Sus scrofa: one gene and its partners. The protein of the gene in region 3 purifies or fractionates together with the protein of the main gene of each other region. This does not show direct contact. Links are inferred from orthologs where the notes say so. Each region holds a gene or a part of one and is shown on either strand. Other genes may lie near its edges.

Region 1 (5,396 bases), on a different chromosome or scaffold from region 3:
TTAAAAAAAAAAAGAGGGCCCATTCTCTTCCCGGGGTGTGGCTGATTCACGATGTACCTTCCTGAATATGTTCAGGGAAAAGGAAAAACATCCATAAACATCACCTTTAGTTCTCAAAAACATGAAAGTTAATACTAATAATTAGAGGCGCTAGTAAAGAGCCATGAGAGTAAGTAGTAATAGGATTAGGGTACCATCTTCTCTTCAAACAAACATTAACAGTGAAAAATCCCGCAAGGCTTCATTGAATTCAATTTCTAGGCCTTGTCACAAACTTCCCAGGCAGCTACCAACAAGGGCTATGTTTCAGTCAGAAGTGTCAGGGGCTGTGAAGTTTAACCTTGACATGGATTACTACATAGTGTTGTTCAGTGGAATCCTTACATCCACAGATCCACTCCACGTAGTCAGACATTTCTCCTCCCAAATTATATACCTGAGGAGTCACGCCCACCCAACACAATCTGGGTCCTAGGTCAGTTGCTTAACTCTAACAAAAGTCTCAAAAGCTTAAAGGAATCTCTTCTCTCTTTGGCCTTAGGAACACCTGCCAAGGACCAGGGAACTAAGTAAACTGCAAGCACTTTGTTTCCCTGAATATATTCATCAGAGATTAAAGAAGTGAGAGGCCTCTGGTATGTAGAGCTGCCATCTAAAACAATTTTAAAATCTGACTCAGTGTGGCCACAGAACATTTCACAAAGCATATTTGGTAGGGTGTCAGTTTTAATAGAGGCTAAGGGCAAAGAAAGCCACCACCATGCACACTCTTCAAGCCAAGCTCTCAGAGGCCTCTGATCTTAGACACCAGGAATGAACATGTTTGTCCACGCAAAGCCAACGTGTTTGTGTCCAATCTACGGACTTACTTATAATATGGTCAAATGTCAAACAGATAACCCTTTTATTTTATCTCCACTCCCCCAGCCTCCCTCCCAAACAAACAAAAACAGCCTAAATTGCTCATTATAGGCAAGAGGCCAGAGATTCGGCTTCATAGAAGTTTTACTACTTTCGGTGGTTCACATTTTCCAAGAGGCTAGACCAATCTTCTCATTTACCAACCCCAATCTTAAATAAACTGTTTCCACCAACTTTCCCCTCCTCTCAAACCCCCACTCACCAAAAACATCTCTTTCAGCCAAGAAAGCTGCAGAAGAGGCTTGGAAGTGGCTGCCTCTGCAAATTCCTCCCCCTTCCTATCAAAAGGGCACTTCAAGAACTTTACAGTCTGGAGACTTGTGAATATTGCTCCAATTCCATTCACCAGAGCTGGATTTGAGCATGTGAAGTCTCTTTAGGCAATCAACTTCTCTCCAAGCAGCCAATCCCACAGAAACTTTGGTGGAAACCTGCTTCCTAAGCAAATTCAGGATGCCATCCAGTTCCCAAGCGTGAGCTAGCACAAAGGAAGCTTCCACACACGCTTACTCCTCCACTGCAGACTTTTCTCGCAAGGGGGGCATCCTAAACTTGCCCCATTTCCTTTTCTAGAGTGTGATCTTTGGTCCATCCCCACGTTCATGCCTTTTTCTCCATCTGCACGTTCAGTTCTAATCAGCTATTGTGCAACAGCTGCGGCAATTTAGCCCCTTGATTTCGTGACATAGTCCTCTCTCCTCCCGGCTGGGAAACTGTTTTGATCTGAATAGAGTTGTCTGTATGGGGATTCTGCATGTTAATGATGTGGCTAGCTGGCAGGGATGTTAGGTGAGAGCACACAGTGTACTTTTTCCAGTTACGTTTCGCCTCATCACAGCTAATAGGGGCCTTTCTAAGGGCCTGCTACGCTAGAAGGGAGAACTGCACACCTAATCTTATCCTCTTCGGGGGAGCCTCCAGGGGCCAGGTGGAAAGAGAACAGACAGCCTGTTCTCCCACCAAGTCTCTGGACTCCGAAGCAAAATAACCGAGACACTCCACCGCCCGTGAAGCAAACACGTATATCTTGCTCAGCCAAGGAGTCAGTCGATCCCCTTCACCCAGGCTTCAGCTTGTCCAGGCTTCAAACCGTTCCCCCCGTCCAGGCCAGTCTAAGATGCTGCGTTCTCCCGGCTATATACCGCCGCCGCCACCCCCACCCGCCCCCTGTCCAAGGAAAGGACTTCCAACGTGGTGGGAGCATCAGCTCCGGTACCCGCCCTTCCCTCTCGATCCCGGCCAGAAAACTCCACTTCCCGGATTCCCGGCCACTCTCTCCCGCGCCCTCCCCGGGCGACCCAGCCAGCGCCGTCCAGATGCCAGCCAAGTGCCCAGCCCAGCTGCGCACTCCCCGCACCCCAAACTAGGCCCCTGGAACAGGCCCCAGCCGCCTCTCTCTCCCTCAGCCTAGGTCTCCCAGATTCTGGACGCACCCCTCAGGCAGACGAGGACTGGAAAAAGTCCCACCCCGCCCCCCAGCCACGCCGCCGACCTCCAGCTCTGCCCAAGAGGGGCCTCCTCCCCAGAAGCGACAAGGGAACGTGGGTGGCGGTCCCAGCAGCCTCCTCCCGCACCCCGCGAGGGGCCTGGACCCCCGGGGAGGGCAGACCCGAGCGGCCCCGAAGGGACACCTCCCTCTCCCCCACCCTCCCGGGCCGGCAGGTCTTGGCAGGGAGCTTGCTCGCTGCGGGTCCTCGAGAGCCTGGGAGAAGTCCGGGGGACTGCCCGGGGTGGGGTGCAGCCTCTCCCCGGGGCGGGAGGAGGTCGCCCGCTGCCGCGCGCCCCCCGGGAGGGGGGGTGCACTCACGATGGTCACGCTGGCTTTGCGCAGGTCGCGGTTCTCCTCCTGCAGCGCCTTGCACTTGAGTTTGTAGGTCTCCAGCTCAATCTTGAGCACCTTGTTCTCCTGCTGCAGCGAAGCCAGGCGGTTGGTGAGCTCCTCCAGGCGGAACGGCGAGATGACAATGCCCCCCGATTTTCCCCCGCCGCCGCCGCCGCCTCCGCCTCCCCCGCCGCCGCCACCGCCGCCCGAGGTCGACGAGCAAGACGACTGCATGGCTGCCGAGCTGCCGCTGTTGCCCCCCGCCCCGTCCGTGTCGCTCTCGCTGGCGCTGTCCGCCATGACCGCGGCGGGCTGGGGAGACAACCAGGAGGAGGAGCGGGGAGGCGGCGGCGGCGAAGGCTGGGCTGCAAATGAGTGGGCGCCGGGCGAGCACAGGGGAGCGCCGATCTGGGCGCCTGGCACCAGGGCGCAGACTCCGAACGGCGGCAAGAGAAAGAGAGGGAGCTTCCCGCTGCCAAGGGACCTCCTCTGCCAGAGAACAGAGACCCCGCCCGGGCTCGGGCAGTATTGCACTGGGGCTCGCTCCAGCCGGGCCTGGCGCGCTCGCTTAGGCCGCCCAGCAAAGCAGGCCGAAAAGCTCCGAGACCCGCCTGCCGCCGCCGTCAGCCTTCTGGCGTCCGCCGGCGGGCTGGGGACGCGCGGGGCGGGCCGGTGCCTGCCGACCAGGTCAGCCTCCGCACCAGCTGCTCCCCCGCCACACGTGTTCAGAGGGAGGGCCTCCCACCTCTCTCTGCCCTAAGCCCGCCGCCGCCCAGCCTCTTCCGGGCTCGCGCCCGCTCCTGGGAAAAGGAAACCTAATGCCCCACTAGCCTCGCAGGTGCTGAGGACACGTGGAAAGGTCAGCCCGGCTCCGGCACCCAGCCCCAGCCGAGTTGTGGCCCCATCTTCTGGCGACTGTTGTGTGCTCCTGTCTCCCTCTGTCTGCTTCAAACACAGACGCAGCCCTTTTAGTTGGATCTCAGCGAGCTTGCCTAGGAAGGTTTGGAGAGCGTTCACAGAACGTTAAGTTCCTCTGCAAGGAGCCAAGGAGGGCGACGCGACAGCACCCACAGGTTAACCTCCTTAAGAAAAAAATTGCAGGAGAGACAATGTCTTTTCTCCTCCTCCTAATCATCTCGTAAACCACACTGTGCTCAATTGTTTAAACAAGGTGCAAGGTTTTTTTCCTTTTCTCTCCGTATCTTGCAGACAATGCCAGGACCTGTCGTGCAGTAGGATTAAGACAGTAACATTTATCTAATCCAAAAGAAAAAAAGATAAACACTTTTTGTGGATTAAAATATCCCTTTAAGTGCCAACTTTCCAAAGTAACTGCGGACAGAGCATTATGCTATACAAATAGTGATTAAGTGGAAATAGAACATGACCATCATTTGCCTTTACTATCATCTTGCCCACTCCTAGAAAACTTTAAGAAGTCAAAAAAAAAAAAAAAAATTACCCTACTGTGGTCTAATACAGGGTTTTAGTTTTGAAGCATAAGAAATGCAAGATCAAAACTTGTATTTCCCCTTTACCGTCCCAAACAAAGGCTTACAGGAAATTGGCCCAGCAGGTGAGGTGATTCTAAACACTTTACACTGTTGACACAAAACAGCTTTCACTTATGTATAAAAATCAGAAAATGAAACTGACCAGACTAGTTTTATTTTCCAAGCTTAGTCAACAGAAGAACAAACCTGGAAACAGGGGAAAAAAGTGTAAATTTTTTTTCTATTGCTTTGAACTTCTGGGAAAGTTTGTAATGTGTTAGGAAGGATAAAGAAGTGCTTTAATGATTTTTATTTCAACTCCTCCATTGTCTTTAAACCTAAATTTGACCTAATGATTACAGTGTTAATTCAACAGCTAATTCCTAACAGCAGGTACCTGGGAATAAACTAAAATGCCAAGGGTTCCAAATGACATCATCTTTTACCAAGATGGCTGCTTGCAGCAGACAGCTCCAAAATGCCAATGGCAATTAAACCCCAAATTTGTCCTAATTATTTAGTTTAGTACTAGAGGACTTCTGAACTCAGCCATTATTGGTGTAGCAGGAGAACAAAAAAAAAAGTTGACTTTACTCTTCAGAAACATATAGCCAATGTCAACAATTCTGTTAGAAGTGATCCAGTTTAGTATTCACTGAGACTTAACTCCTCTCCCTCACTTTTTCCTTTTGAGGATGTGCTACTTAAGACAAGCAGCTCCTCAGATTGGAAGTGGCTTCTGGAAATCTCACTTGCTGGGTGAAATGGAGGGGTAAAGCTAGCAGGGAGTCGTGCCACATGGGGAAACTCAGACTTAACAGCATTCTTTCCGCTTTACCCCAGCACCGTGATAGAATCTTAAGAGCCAGTCTGGCTTCCATACTTCACAAGTTTCCATTGTTCCCTATCCCATAGTATCTTAAAGCTTCCACTTTCAGAGCTTACTTAAAAACATTCCTTCCAGGCAAAGCTGGGAGCAAGCTGGCTCTCTCTCAGCTTTATCACCAACTGCCTCAGAAAGAGGACTTAAATGCTTCAAGTCAGCGGAGGGGTGGAGTTTCAAGAGCCTGACTTTCTTAAAGGGCCCACGTTACAGTAACTTAAAATGGATTGGTCTGAATAGAATTAGGACAAAAACTGCTTTTTGACACGATACTTGA
Region 2 (5,356 bases), on a different chromosome or scaffold from region 3:
CTATGGTCGCCTTGGAACGGTTCCTCCAAATCTGAAGAAAACATCAATTCCTATTTACCCTCCATGTGATATAATCAACATACAATTTAAAACATCCTAAATGTCCAACAGGAACACTGAGAGATAAACACAGAATGTTATGTTCTGGGCTCCACTCTCATTGCCTTTAGGGCAAGCCACCCTAAGGCCTTTACCTGTCTCTTCGGCTACTTCGGCCAGCCTGGTCACTGCCCTCCTCCTCAGCGTCCCTCTGGTCATCTTTGCTCTCTTCCCAGTCCTTGTAGGAAGAGATTCTGGACTTCTTCTTATCCTCTCCATCATCCTTCTCCTCTCTCTCCCTCCTTTTCAGGGAAGCCAACAAGTCCAGTCCCAGCAATGACGGGCGGGGAGCAGGGGCCTTAAAGACGTGCTGCTCACTAGCTGCACTTTTGGTTTTACAGATAAGACCGCCAACCTGAGAGTCGGCATCAGTGCCTTCCAATCGGTGGAGGGAGGCATCCTCGATGGTGTCCTCCATGACAGGCTCTGAGATTTCTGAAAGGAAAACAAACCATTTGGCATTAGACATAAGAAGAGGAAAGGCTTGACTGTGCTATATCCCAGAGTAACTGTAGCCACATGCATATTTGGTGCGTTGACCTCTTCTCCAGGACCAAAATTCCTTTAATTACCTCTTAACCAAGACCTGTCCATCAAGTCACTGACAATCTCAAAAGATCTTCCTAATCCCACCCCAACACACATCCGAAATAGATACTTGCACGCACACACAGACACACCTGGATCCAAGAGGGCAGCATCCAGGCAAGAACAGACCTCACTAAGAGATACTTACTAGAGCATGGTGGTATCTCAAAAGGGAGTATAAGGATAACACCACTAGATTTAACATCAGAAATCTCTACTATCCAGGCCCTTGACATTTTCTGCCTGTGTGATTGTAAGCAAATAACTTAACTTTCAGTTAGGCATAATTTCCTCCCCCACTTATGGGGGGGAGAGCCCCATGGGATATGGAGTTCCCAGGCCAGGATCGACTCCAAGCCAGAGTCATAAATTACTCCACAGCTGCAGCAACGCCAGATCCTTAACTCACTGTGATGGGCCAGGGATCCAACCTGCTCCCCTGCCACTGCAGATCCCACTGCACCAAAGCATGAACTCCTAGGCATAACTTCTATATCTGCAAAGTGAAAATACTTTTTGCTCTATCTGATCCTTGGAGTTGTTGTGAGAATCAAACAAGAAAGTTTAGTAAAAGCACTCTGTAACCATAAAGAGTTACAGAAATGTGGCTGTTACATTATTTCACTTGCTGTGCTCCTAGACACTGATTGGATCCCTCATCGTTTTTTCTACGTAAGTTCTTCCTCCTCTCCCTTCTTTTAAACTACAGCTACAGCGGAGCAGAGATGTTGATAAGGCTACTATCCATGCAGTCTATACTTAAACGCATTTTCTGGGCCAGGTAAGTTCAGTAGAAAAGAATTACCTCACGGCAGTTGAAATCTGTCTAATGACAATTCATGTTCTCCAAAAATGTTGATGAGAAGCATCAGGCTTGGGAATGGTACTTCTGAAAAAGTATTTAGGTAACTGTAAGATTTCCTGGCACTCAACTTGTAACAAACTCCTCTTTTTCTTCCCACTATACACCATCTACTTATAAATATTCTGAATGCTTGACTAACTTCCCTCATTCCAACAAGTCAGTGAAGCAAAGAACTATCAAGTGCTAGGGTACCACCAGAATCCAGACTGTTGTGCCCAGCTTTAATTAACATGCAGAGCTTTCTAGAAGAATATTGCCAAACAGACAACACATAGTATGGTCAAAGAAACAAGAATTTCCTTTTTTAAAAATGCCATTAGGGGAGTTCCCGTCGTGGCGCAGTGGTTAACGAATCCGACTAGGAACCATGAGGTTGCGGGTTCGATCCCTGCCCTTGCTCAGTGGGTTAACGATCCGGCGTTGCCGTGAGCTGTGGTGTAGGTTGCAGATGCGGCTCAGATCCCGCGTTGCTGTGGCCCTGTCGTAGGCCGGTGGCTACAGCTCCGATTGGACCCCTAGCCTGGGAACTTCCATATGCCGCGGGAGCGGCCCAAGAAATAGCAACAACAACAACAACAAAAAGACAAAAAGACAAAAAAAATTTTAAAAAAAATGCCATTAGGTAGAAGGGAAAAGGGAAAGCTACCTACTGGTGATATCTGTACTCATGTGAGCAAATCCAGGAAGGTAGGACATACAGACTCTGCTCAGTAGTCTGAACTAGAAAAAATACCCCTAGTATGTCATTTTATGCAGGAGAACCTTGTCTGTCTTAATGACTACTACGCCCAGTGCCTACAACAGAACCATGTGAAGAATTAATGAATGAACAAGTTTAAACTGATTAAAGGAGATAGGGAGCCAGAAATTCCTAAAGACAGCAAGGACAGGTACTAGGAGCACAGGAAAAAGAGTTTGACAGGACAACGAGTGGCTGAGGAGTTAACTGCTGTTTTGCGAATAAGTATTAATGGTAAAGAAGCCACAAGAGGTATAAGGAAAATAGTGAAGAAAGAAACTGAATATATTCATTCAATAATTATTCACTGACAGCTTTCTGTGAGCCAGTCGTTGTTCTGGGCATTAGAGATAGAGAAGAGAAGAGACAAAAGTCCAGACCTTCTTGGAGTTGACATTCTAGCAGAGGATATCGCCTGATAGAGATACCACTGTGACAGAGAAGAGGAAGCCCAAAGAACCCCTACTGGGTTCGGAGTCCGTCTGGGAGTGGGCTAATGCGGAGGCCTAAGGAAGGGAGCAGGTGACGCCCAGGGCAGCATCCCTGGACCTCAGCGGGGACGCACCAAAATGCAGGATCTGATCAGAATAAAGAGGAAGGCCGCGGCAGGCTGTCCTGCGCAATATCCCTACAGCGAATAAGGCACACTGGCTGACAAAGACAAGGATTCCCAAGTCTAGGCCCAAACCCGAAAGAGGGACCAATATCCGCTGCCTGGAGCCACCACGACTGGGTAAGAAAAGGTCGGAAAGGAAGAAGGGACACTCACCTCACCACGCCCGACTCTCGAGACCTTCTGTCCCGGATTCTGGGGCGCTGGCGCAGCCACTCCTCGCTCAGAACGTCTCAGAAAGCCAAAACCCGCACCTTGAAAGCGGCCATCGTTGTCCCATAATACTTTGCGCGGTCCCCTCTATCCGTCCAAAGATACCATCGAGATCAGCCCGGAAAACGCGAGTTCCTAGTGCGGGGCGGAAGGGGACCACGCTTGTTGGACTAGACGGTCCTCCGCTGAGGCTGGGATAAGACATTTATTACAGACACTTCCGAGTCTCTTGGCGACCAATCACGGTTAGTCTAAGAGTTGGGCAGCCCCCTAATTGGAATGCGGGGTGGGATCGGCCATGTTTAACAAGGGCGGAAGTGACCCTAAGGCTTCCGGTCGCAGCGGGGAAGATTGGCCGTGAGTAGAATAGGCCCTTCCGCTTATTGGGCTGCTGAACTGAACAGACCGCGCGTTAATCACTGCGTTTGTGCGTTTTCTTTTTCCGTTTCCGTCCACTTAAGAGGTCGGCCGAGAGTTATTTGGCAACAGCCCCTGGGTTACTCTGGTTTAGGGTCGCCGCCGCGGTTGCGGAAGAAGAAAGGAGTCGCCGGCGTCGCGGCTTTTTGGAGAAAGTGTCAGGGTTGCCGAAAGCCTTGAAGTGCTGGCGAGGAAGATGACGTGCAAATAAAGTATCATTTTTCCCCGGCACTTGTGGGCCAGGAGTAGTCCAGCCACTGGCATCATAAAAAATAGGTATGTCGGGGATATTGGAAAAATGAAGACGTGCACCCCAGTGTGAGTAAAAGTCACTCGTAAGTTCACACGCAGTGAAAACCACTGAGGGTGTTTGAGGATATTCATTTTTAGTTATTTCCTATGTGAATATGTATATTTGCATTATAGTTAGGTTTTGTACAAAAGCGGAATCACCCTTTGTATACTACTGTTTTATGACTTTTTTCTTTATTACGAGGATTTTTCACGTATCTGAATTGTTAATCTATAACGCAATATGTAGTGACAGTGTGTTAGTATGTTACAGGACTGCCATCCTTCATTTCACGATTCTCCTACCGATGGCAGTGTAAGTTGTTTCCAGTTTTTCACTGTTAAAAACGTGACAAATATCCTTTTTACATAAATCTTTCTGCGTATGTCTGGTTATTTACTAGGAAATAATTCTCAGAAATGGAGTTGTATTTCAGGTTTCTTTCTAGACAAGGTTTGTTCTCTGTTTTCTAGGGGGGACTATGAAGCCTGTCCCTTCACTGACATTCTTGCCTTTATCATTTAATCTTTGCCAGTTTAATGGCTTTTTAAAATATAACTTTTTTTTTTCTACTTTTTGTGGCCACACCCACAGCATATGGAAGTTCTCAGGGTAGGAGTCAAATCAGAGCTACAGCTGCTGGCCTACACCAGAGCTGACGCAAGGCCAGATTCCCCCCCACCCCACTGAGAGAGGCCAGGGATCAAATCCACATCCTCATGGATGCTAGTTGGATTCATTTCCGCTGTGCCACAGTGGGAACTCCTAAAATACATCTTTTAATTTGCTTTTCTTTACTTAGCAGTGAAACTTTCCAAATTTTTTTTTTTCTCGTCTGTCTTCTTTCTGAATTCCTTGTTTTTATCCTTTGCTATAGACATTTTCTTAGGTGTGGTCTCAATTTCCCTTTCCTTTTTTCAACATTTATTCAATTCCACTCTCACACCCTCACCTCCCCACTCACTCTGATGACAACTTTGCTCTCCTGCCATTTCCTCCTCTTTTTATCAGTAACACGCAGAAATTGCTGTTTGGTTGAATTCTAGTGGTTCGACAGATCCATCTTTTCTTTAGCTTTCCCCTTTCCCTCTCAGAATTTGTTCTGCCATTCCTGTTTGATGAAGTACCTTCTGGCAATCAGCTTCCCTATTTAAAATATGGCTCATGACTGGAACAGTTCCATTTCTTATGCGAATTTTAGTAATTCATATCTTAAAATGCTGCTTGTCACATAAGAGAGAGGGAGGGAAGGAAGTCCTCTTTTTTCATAGCATTAGACAACTTTGGAACTGAACTTAAAATACCAGGTATCTCAATGGAGTTTATCATGGATGGATCAAAAGTAAAGCTCCTTGGAATTGCGGTTGGCTCAGAAGTTTAAGGATTAAGGATCTGGCATTGTCACTGCAGTGGCTCAGGTGCCTGGCCCCAGAACTTCCGCATGCCGCACGTGCAGCAAAAAACAAAAACAAAACAAAAAAAACTCATTGATTGGGAGTTCCCCTTGTGGCGCAGTGGTTAACGAATCCG
Region 3 (4,929 bases):
AAAGGGCTAAAATGGTTACTTACTGAGGGGAAAAAAAGGACTCCAAAAAATATTTTAAAATAAAAAGTCACTAAGCTGAATTCTTCCATAAATTGTTATTTTTCATTTTAAAAGAAATGTTACTTATCTCAATGTTAAACAGGTTCTAGACAAAGTATAAAAATTTATAACATTAAGTAAAAAATGGAAAGAAAAATTTTTAAATATTTCCTGATATCATTTCCACTGTCATACACATTTAAAATCTAAAATGCCACAAAACCATATAAAGATGATTCGAGTTTCAAAAAAAAAAGGTGTAACTATTTTAAATATATGTAAGCTGGAAATCAGTAACTACTATATATACCACAAGAGACAGAATTTATTCTAATGGATAATCAGTTATTAAAGAACCAGACACATCAGAACTAAGAGAACAATCACTGTTCAGCTAAAAATTAAACCTTTAAAAGTAGAATTAAATGCATACCCATTAAATCCAGTGACAATTTTCAGTATTCTTTCCTTCATTTCATCAAAAGGAATATATTCGACATTAGGGTTAGGAGGACCTCTTGGTTCAGGAGCTGAAGTTCTGAAATCATCCATCACTTTCTCCAGTTTGAAAATAAAATAGCCTTTAAATTGGGACCACTGAATCCTATAAGTAAAAAATTTTGAAAATGTAATACCATGTAGCTTGAACACAAAGCACAAATACAGCTTAAGATTTGGACAAGGAGTAGTGGGAGTGTGTTTCTTCAGTATCCTGTACCAGGCCTGATCAATATGACTCACACACTCCAACTTGGTTCCTTCTAAATTCTCCCTACTCCCGACCCAAACAAAATCTAAATCTCAGCTTAAAATCTTTAAAATTAACTATTTCTCAATTAAAGCTTATTGTCTAAGTCCCATTCTTCACATTTTTAAAACATTATTTTGACTCTGTTCCTCATAAAAACCTAACCAGGGAGGTGTTACTGCCCCCATTTTAAAGTAGGTTACTAGAAACTAGGCCAACTTTACAGTGATAATTTTAACTGGACAAATCAGAATGACTCCATACCTCAAGTTGTTATCATCCAAGCCATAATGCTTATAAGACTAGTAAATATTTCTTGTCTTGTATCTGATAAGTACCAAAAAAAAAACCCTTTAATTTCTCCTTTTTCTTTTGCTTTCAACTAATTTTTTAAATATTTTGTCATTTAAAAAGTATTTATCATAGGGTTCTATCCAAAATGTATCTTGCAAAGTAAAAATACATAATACATTATGTACATTCCATATCTATTCATGAATTTAACATCTTTTTATCCCGGTCCCCTCACATTCTACCACTAATATAAGGAAATTTTATGCTGATACCAGCCTGAATAGCCTAAATTACAGGAAATACAAGAGTGAGGAATGGCAACCATTTCTCCAAACATCTTAGACAAGAGACTACTCAGGCAAGATAAGACTACTACTCCATAGTCACTCTTCCATTCCATCCAGCAACCCTATAAACTAAGGCAGCAATTCTCTAAGTGTGGCCCAAGAGGTCAAAGCTATCTCCCTAAGAATAGAGATAACTTATTCACTGAGTTGACATCTGCAACGATGATTGGTGCAAAAACAGCAGTGAGTAAAACGGACGATACTTGCACAAATCAAGGCAGCAATACCAAACAATACTGGTAGTGATTACCTTCTTGTGTGGCTTGGATCCAGTGTTGCCATGGCTGGCCTCAGCTGCAGCTCCAATTGAGCCCCTAGCCTGGGAACTTCCATATGCTTCAGGTGTGGTCATAAAAACAAACAAAACAAACAAAAAAAAACCTTGTGCATCAAAGGGACACTATCAGAAAGAGTGAAAAGGCAACCCACAGAATGGGAGAAACTATCTGCAAATCATCCATCTGGTAGAGTGTAAATATTCAGGATATATATAGAACTCCCACAACTCATCAGCAAAAAACCAAACCAACTTATATAAAAACGGGCAAAGTATATTAACAGGCATTTCTTTAAAGATCTACAAATGGCCAACAAGCAAATGGAAAGATTAAATGTTAATCATTTGGGAAATGAACATCAAAATCACAGGAAGATAGAACTTCATTCACATCCATTACATTAACTATTTTAAACACACACATAAAATAACAACCACTGCCCAGTAGTATGTAAAGAAACCCTTATTCATTGCTTGTGGGAATATAAAATGGTGAGGACACTACGGAAAACAGTATGGTGGGTCCTCCTTAAAAAAAAAAAAAAAAAAAAAAAAAAAAAAAAAAATTAAAGAATTTACCGAATGATTCAGCAATTCCATTTCTGGACACTCCAAAAATGTGAAAACAGAAACTCAATCGCACGAAATTCACTTATACGCAACGGTAGGAACTACCCAAATGTATAAACAAAATGTACAATATATATGTAAAATGAAATACGGCCTTAAAGAAGGAAATTCTGACACATACTACAACAAAGAATCTTGAATACATTATGCTAAACCCTCGAAGTAAACCAGACACAAAAGAATAAATATTTTGATTCCACTTGTCAGAGGTAATCTAGAATAGTCAAATTCAGAGAGACAGCAGAAGGGCATTTGTCAGGGGCTTGGAAAAGGAATGGGTAAGAGGTTATTGTTTAATGAGTTGCAGAGTTTCAGAAGACAGATAAATAGCCAATAAGCACACAAAGATTCTTAACATTATTAGCCAGTACTCATCAAAATCACAAGATAGCATTTCTCACCCACTAAGGCTGTTATAATAAAAATGATAGACAATACAATAACAAGTGCTAGAGAGGATGAAGGTCAAGTGGAAACCTATACATGGATGGAAATGCAAAATGGTGTAGCCATTTTGGAAAAGTTTAGCTTGGCAGCTTCTCAAAAAGTTAAACAGAGCTGATATGTAACCTGACAACTCCACTCTGTTAAATGAGTGAATTACATGGCAGGTAAATTTTATTATTATTTAAAAAATTCATTCAGGGTCATTATTTAAAGCTATTTATATGATTACCTTTTCCCTCCTTTCCCAAGTTTTTTTCTGGGAAGGAGAATTTGAGGTTTAACAATCAGGAGGTGGCACATTGTAATTTTTGACTTGCCTAATATTAATTTCTGTGTACTATACTACTGTCAGTGATTACTAAAATTTAATCTTTAAATTTCACTACACTCCCTACAGACATTTAACTAATACTTAAACACACCAGGTAAGGTTACTGAAATAGGAGTCTTAAACTTTTCATTTCTTAAATTAAGAATTCTTCCTGTAGTTTTAACAATCACCCACTTAGTCATAACCTGTTTCACGAATTAGAATTTCCATACACACACAGTTTTCTAACCCATCTTCCCATTAACTGTTGGCAAATCTACCCATGACATCCAAACATCAACAACATATTAATAGGAATAGGGAGAGGAGAAGTGAAGGAAACTAGTAGGTAAAGCAAAACTATGAGGAGCATCAAAGACTCTAGATCAGTCAGGAATTAAATGCCATAAAATCAATTACGTACAACTTGTATTTTAAGTTTCGAATGTATCAGGTAAAGTTATCCTAAATCAGATCTGAGATGCAATTCAAAAGTTACTGTGCCATATACAATAGAAAAAATACGTGTGGAAAAAATGGAAGAATGCATTTTGATGCAACACAACCATCTGATAAAAACAAAAGCAGAAAATGCATCACTGGAAATTATGTAATTTGAGCACAAAACCACGCCATGAATAAATCAACTAAAAATTTGGCAACAAAAATAATTTTCCTAGTAATGTACTCATTGCATAAAAAGCTAAAAAACAAACAAAAAAACCCTTATTTTTCAAATGAAAATAAATTACTCTAAACAGATGCTCATGAAACATAAACACATATTCAACTTGAGAATCAATTCTTTCACATAAAAATTTCCTCCCAAGATAAAATACATACTCAGAATTTAAATCTACTTGGCTAGAATTAAGTATTTAATGAAATTCATTATCCATTAATTTTTTTAAGTAACTTCAACTCCCTCTTCTTCTCTTTCCCTTCCACTTTCCCTTTATGCAGCTTTTCCTCTAGAAAGGCAAAACAACTCAGATAAATATATCCTCCTACCAACACCACAATGACCTTTTTCTTCCAAAGGAACTCACAAGTCTATACTAAAACGAACATATTTCCCTGACAATGCTCAGGTTAAAGGTATTTTTTCACAGGTTCAAGAGCAAAATCCAACTGTTATTTCCTAGCCAGTTCTAGAACATTTTAGGGGGAAGTATCAAGTCACATCCTAACTTGCTGCCTCTTACAGTTCCAAATTCTACTAAGATTACTCCCTATTTAGCCTGTTTCCACCCAAAATCTGTGTGGAAAGCTAACAAAAGAGAACATGGGAGTGCTGTAATTACCTCCAAGGAACAGCACATACTGTACCACTTGTAAGCAAAGGGGAATATGGAAAAAGACAAATGAAAGAAAACAAAGGAAATTTAATGGGCAGTCATTGACACACAGTGACAGACTTTGAATCAGGACACAAAGTGTCAAAGAATTCAGCCTTAACTTTCTGAATGAAGCAAACAAAGACAAGTATATTTAATCTAAATATTGAATTACATGAGCGAAAGAAGAGCAAAAATAAGAACACAACTGCTTACACAAAATCATGACATTTTCATGAACTATAAAAATACAAATTACTAGTTCAGAAAACCTCTACGAGTGGGGCCCAATCTAAAGAGCATTCCTTTTGCCTAATTACAAAGTATATATATTATACTTTATTGAGCAAATATTAAAATATATCAGTGGAAGAGACAGCCCAGAAACAGGCCCACGCATAAATGGGAACTTGCTATATGCACAGACTTTTCAATAAATATTTTGAGAAATGACAAAACTACTACAAAATTTTACTAGAGTTTAAAAATTAAAAAGACGT
Region 4 (5,374 bases), on a different chromosome or scaffold from region 3:
AACTCAGGCAGTCAATGTAGGAGCAGGGGCTTGGATGCATTCTTTGATATGGCTATTGATTAACATTTGTGGCTTAAGGGCTCCAGAGAGTAACATCCCCACAGGCCTTGTTTTCTATAGGGAGTGTACCTATGCCCAGATGGTCATTAATCCCTAATCCCCTGTAACTCAGTAGAAGAAAAGGGCAAAGAAACCATAAAAAATTAAATGGGACATTTCTACCCCTAACACCTCTGTTGGACAAGGACTGATAAATGTAATCAAGCAAGGCCAATAGGAGAAAACCACATCTTTTTGGACCCCCCACATCTTTAAAGGATACCCAGTTGGTACCCCCCACATCGTTAAAGGATAAAAACCCCCATAGGACAATGGGGGTGGGGCTTTTCTCCCCCCTCCCAGCAGCCCTGGGAGCTATTTGCTTTCCTGCAATAAAGATTTTGCTTGCTTGCAAAAAAAAAAAAAAAAACCCAATTCATTTGTTCAGCACCCAAGAGGTTTTGCCCTAGGGCAGGCATCACAGAAAAATGTAAGATGGGAGCAGAAAAGCCTTTGTTTTGTCACAAGGAAGAACTACTACTAAGTATACTCAAGATATTCAAGCAGATTGGTTTTAGAAATAAACAAAGAGGTTAAGGATCTGGAGTTTTTTTCTTTCTTTCTTTCTTTCTTTTTTTTTTTTTTTTTTTTTGCTTTTTAGGGCCACACCTGCAGCAAAGGGAGGTTCCCAGGCTAGGAGTCCAATCGGAGCTACAGCCGCCAGCCTATACCACAGCCACAGCAATGCGGAATCCAAGCCACATCTGTGACCTACACCACAGCTCATGGCAATGCTGGATCCTTAACCCACTGAGTGAGGCAGGGATTGAACCCACAACCTCATGGTTCCTAGTAGGACTCATTTCCACTGCACCGTGATGGAATTCTCAAGATCTGGAATTTGATTCTCTTAAAACTCTCCATGGAGTTCCCATTGTGGCTCACCAGGTTAAGAATCGACTAATATCCATAAGGATGAGGGTTCTATCCCTGGCCTAACTTAGTGGGTTAAGGATACAGCGTTGCTGTGGGGCTGTGGTGTAGGTTGCGGACGAGGCTTGGAACTGGCATTGCTGTGGTTGTGGCATAGGCCAGCAGCTACAGCTCCAGTTTGAACCCTAACCTGGGAACTTTCATATGCCGCTGGTGCAGCCCTGAAAAACAAAGAATCCAACTAGTATCCATGAGGATGTGGGTTCAATCCCTCGCCTCGCTCAGTGGGTTAAGGATCCGGTGTTTCAGAGAGCTGCGGTGAAAGTGACAGATGGAGCTTGGATCTGGCGTTGCTGTAGGCCAGCAGCTGCAGTTCCAATTGGACCCCTAGCCTGGAAACTTCCACATGCCTAGGGTACAGCCCTAAAAACAAACAAAACAAAACAAAATTCTCCATCCATCTAGTACCTCTTAAATAGTCTGAAAATTACATGGGTAATCATAATTTGAAGCTGACTAGTTCATATATAGCACAATTACAAATATGTGGTGCAATATGTAATAGAGAAAGTTACATGGAGCGAAAAACTCAGAGTAACTGTGATAGGATGAAGGGATTTCTTTTTCCTTTCTTTTCTGTATTTTCTTAATTTTTCTTAGTGACTGTGAGAATGTTTCCTTTTTTTTTAATTAGGAAGTTAAATATCCTTTCATGACTCTCCTCTCTTCCCTGGTTACTTTCCTCTACCTAAATCTTAAAATGCCTGTGCTCCCTAGGGTCCCATCTCATAACCTTTTCCTTTTCTTCTGTTTGACTTCCAAATGATTTTAATTCACTCCCAGGTATTCAGGTATATCAACTATAAGCTGATGATTCCCAAAGCTAAATCATGGACAAGTCATCTTTTTTTAAGCTCCAAGATAAATGCCTAAGACACTCTTCAACAAACTAATCTCACCTTCTATCCAACACATGCCTCCATTCTGCTCCTCCTCCTGTGTTTCTCACCTTGTCCAATAGCAATGCTTTCCCTGCAACAGCAAGCCAGAAATCTTGCCAATGGTACAGATTCTTCCTTTTTCCTTCCTCCTCCTATCAAGCAGCCATCAAATTCAGGGACTTAATCTTCTAAAATCTCTCTTCTCTCCCCTTCCAACTGTCTCCTTACCCAGGCCTACATCCTTCCAATCCATCCTCTGCATCAGCTCCAGAGAATTCTTTCAGGGTGTAATCTGATAATATCGCTCCTTTCTATAAAATGACACCCATGGACTTTCCCTGTGGCCTACAGCATAACTATACAACAGCTATGGTGCAACCCCTGGCCATGGAACTTCCATGTGCCACAGGTGAGGCCAAACACTTAAAAAAAAAAAAGACCCCCAGTGGTAGTCAGATAAAACTCAAAACTACTTAAATTCTCTTGTGGTGCAGCAGATTAAGGATCCAGCTGCTGTCACTACAGGGGATTGGGTTGCTGCTGTGGTGTGGATTCCATCCCTGGCCAGGGAACTTCCACATGTCCCGAGCATAGCCCCCCCGCCCCCAAATCAAAACTCCTTAGCCCGGCATAAAAGTTCTCTCAGTTATCTTTACTGCCCAAGGACCTGCTTGCCTCTGGCTTCTCACAACAGCAGTCCCCCTCCGATCCTTCATGCTGCAATCACACAGAAACAGTGCTTTAAGGCTCCCACTCTCTCTGACCTCCCAGCTTTACACGTGTCTCCTGTCACCCCCAAATTCTGTCGAGCTCAGGCATCACAAACGCGGCACAGCTGTCACTTTCCCTGGCCCTCCACCTTTACACATGCCTTCCACCCTCACCCAATTCCACCGACTTTATCAAGATTCAGTGCAGACATCCCAATTTCCCGCATGCCTTGTTTCCCTAAATAATCTCGAATAACCCTGTATATACACTTCTATCAATTCACACTGTATTATAACTGTCATTCTCACAAGACTGAGTTCCTCGAGGTCGGGATTGTCTTCTGTATCTTAAATGCCTGGCATAGCACCTGACAAGCTAAAAATCAAGCATATATATCATCTCCGTTATTAAACCCCAAGAAAAGAGGTCACAGCCACCCAGAAATAGTCTAAAGGTGGCGCAGGCTGGGGCAGGTAGAGAACCATGGGAGGCGAAAGTCCACCGGAACAGTCATGCTCTGCTCAAACCCAAGCGGAATGACAGTTTCACGAAGGCAGCGCCTGAAACCTGAACCGAAGGACAGAAGGCAGTGATAGCAATATTTCCTGGTGTTGCCATTCAAAGGTCCCGTCCAAGCCTCCGCCCCAGAGGAAGGCTGGGGCTGCGGGGAGCTCGCCCTTGCCTCCCGCGCAGGCCCAGCTCCCCAGCCCGCGCCCGGATCTCAGCCCTGGAGTCTCACTTCTCTACATCCGCTGACTTCATGATGTGGGTCTTGGATGCCGTCAGCTTCCAGGGCCCGAAGGAGAAGTCCTGGTGGCTGCTCTGGAAGCCGTGGATCATCATGGCTGCGATGGAGCCCGCGTGGGCTACGCAGAACAGGTTGGAGCAGCGGTGGCAGCGGCAGCGACAGCGGTAGCGGACACCGCTCCCTCCGCCTTGCTCCGGCCCAGCCCCCTCGGCTTCCCAGCCGTTACCATGCCCGGCCCCGCCCCCTGCCGGCCGACCCGGACGCAGGCCCAACTTTCCACCTTCTTCTCCGCCCCTCGGGTTTTGCTTCCGGGAGCAGTTGCCAAGGTTGCGTGACCTACGTATTACGTCAAGACGCACCGGGAAAAAGGCGGTGAGAAAATGCTGAGGGGAGAGGCCTCGACTCAGGAGGTGTGGTCGGGGTGCACCGCTCCCTGAGCTGCTGCAATGACGTCGTCTCAGGGCATGTTTAATGGAAGCTCCACGGTGGAAAAGGTGAGTTGAACGTGATCCTAGCCAACTTTGCAAAGCAGCGAGTTACCTCGCGTGTTGGTGAATTAGGGTAGAGAGGAAATGCCCTACATTTTCCCATTGAGGCCAAAATTTTAAAATCACTTAAGAGTCCAGGAGCTTAGGTCAACATCAAGAGCTACGTGACCCAGAATTGGACATCTAGCTGCTATCGATTAAGACTCCTATCAAAAATTTCCTCATTCAGGAATTCCTGTCGTGGCGCAGCGGAAACTAATCCGACTAGGACCCATGAGGTTGCGGGTTCGATCCCTGGCCTCGCTCAGTCAGTATGTTAAGGGATCTGGCATTGCGGTGACTGTGGCATAGGCCGGCAGCTATAGCTCCTATTTGACCCTTGGCCTGGGACTCTCCTTATGCCGTGGGTGTGGCCCTAAAAAAAGAATTCATCGTTCAGACATTTCAGGACTTTCCTGGTCTAGCTATCACCTAAGCATCTGGTATAGTGGAAACAGCACTTTAGACCCGTACTAAATCATCTTTTACAATGATGTTTTATGCATCCTTGGCAAACCACTTAACTAATGATTTTGGCTTCAGCTGCCTAAAATAGTATGCTTTCCTGGCCTGGGAACTCCCACATGCCAGCGGGGCCAAAATAAATTAGAAAAAAAAAAAAATCCCTTGCTCTTAGGGTGTCTATCAAATCTTTTTTTTTTTTTTGGCTTTTTAGGTCTGTGCCCAAGGAATGTGGAGGTTCCCAGGCTAGGGGTCAAATCCAACCTACACCTACCAGCCTGCACCACAGCCGTAGCAATGCTGGATCTGAGCATCATCTGCTACCTACACCATAGCTCACGGCAATGCCTGATCCTTAACCCACTGGAGCAAGGCCAGAGATCAAACCTGAATCCTCAAGGATACTAGTTGGATTCGTTTCCGCTTTGCCACAATGGGAACTTCTCCCAAATCTTTCTTTCTGGCCCCATTTTCAACTCCCTCTCAGCCCTACTCACCAGCACTCAGCCCAACCTTTGGGCCCTTACTCTTGCTGTTCTATCTGCTTGAAACTGTCATACTCAGACCTGTCCCATTTCAGAGTCAACCTGGCACCTTTTAGAACTATAGATTCTCCAGCCCCCATCCCTTTCCCTAACCTGGGATGATCTGCCTTGGAATGATACATCTCCTCCAAAAGGCTTTTTCTGAACTCTGGAGCTGGATTTAATCACTCCTTCTTCTTAGCCAACATGTTGATTTAATTTAACTTCACTCATTCCAGTTACCACTGTTTATTCATTCATCCAAATGAATGTCAAAATTTGAGCATCTGCTGTTGGCCAGGCATTTGTTTTTTCATTAGGAAACAGCACTCACACCCTTTCTTTTTTTTTTTTTTTTTTTTTTTTTTTTTTGTCTTTTGTCTTTTTGTTGTTGTTGCTGTTGTTGTTGTTGTTGTTGCTATTTCTTGGGCTGCTCCCGCCAGGCTAGGGGTTGAATCGGAGCTGTAGCCACCGGCCTACGCCAGAGCC

Evidence for each region.
Region 1: the proteins of PPP4R2 (region 3) and CCDC6 purify together in Homo sapiens (co-immunoprecipitation; 3 studies listed by BioGRID and IntAct, counting the BioPlex papers as one, with this or other methods). This does not show direct contact. The link is inferred for Sus scrofa from reciprocal best matches to the Homo sapiens genes PPP4R2 and CCDC6.
Region 2: the proteins of PPP4R2 (region 3) and DHX38 purify together in Homo sapiens (affinity purification with mass spectrometry; 3 studies listed by BioGRID and IntAct, counting the BioPlex papers as one, with this or other methods). This does not show direct contact. The link is inferred for Sus scrofa from reciprocal best matches to the Homo sapiens genes PPP4R2 and DHX38.
Region 4: the proteins of PPP4R2 (region 3) and TIPRL purify together in Homo sapiens (affinity purification with mass spectrometry; 5 studies listed by BioGRID and IntAct, counting the BioPlex papers as one, with this or other methods). This does not show direct contact. The link is inferred for Sus scrofa from reciprocal best matches to the Homo sapiens genes PPP4R2 and TIPRL.

The regions. Positions count from the first base shown.
Region 1 is NC_010456.5:63,296,251-63,301,646, forward strand, and holds the start of CCDC6 (coiled-coil domain-containing protein 6), read right to left. Parts: upstream 3,776-5,396; 5' UTR 3,044-3,775; coding exon 2,729-3,043; intron 1-2,728.
Region 2 is NC_010448.4:14,996,162-15,001,517, reverse strand, and holds the start of DHX38 (pre-mRNA-splicing factor ATP-dependent RNA helicase PRP16), read right to left. Parts: upstream 3,428-5,356; 5' UTR 3,061-3,427; intron 1,577-3,060; exon of another isoform or gene 1,493-1,576; intron 535-1,492; 5' UTR 518-534; coding exon 195-517; intron 1-194. UniProt on the Homo sapiens protein: Probable ATP-binding RNA helicase. Involved in pre-mRNA splicing as component of the spliceosome.
Region 3 is NC_010455.5:54,354,948-54,359,876, reverse strand, and holds part of PPP4R2 (serine/threonine-protein phosphatase 4 regulatory subunit 2), read right to left. Parts: intron 644-4,929; coding exon 473-643; intron 1-472. UniProt on the Homo sapiens protein: Regulatory subunit of serine/threonine-protein phosphatase 4 (PP4). May regulate the activity of PPP4C at centrosomal microtubule organizing centers.
Region 4 is NC_010446.5:82,791,087-82,796,460, forward strand, and holds the start of TIPRL (TIP41-like protein), read right to left. Parts: upstream 3,680-5,374; 5' UTR 3,468-3,679; coding exon 3,364-3,467; intron 3,317-3,363; exon of another isoform or gene 1,932-3,316; intron 1-1,931. UniProt on the Homo sapiens protein: May be a allosteric regulator of serine/threonine-protein phosphatase 2A (PP2A). Isoform 1 inhibits catalytic activity of the PP2A(D) core complex in vitro. The PP2A(C):TIPRL complex does not show phosphatase activity.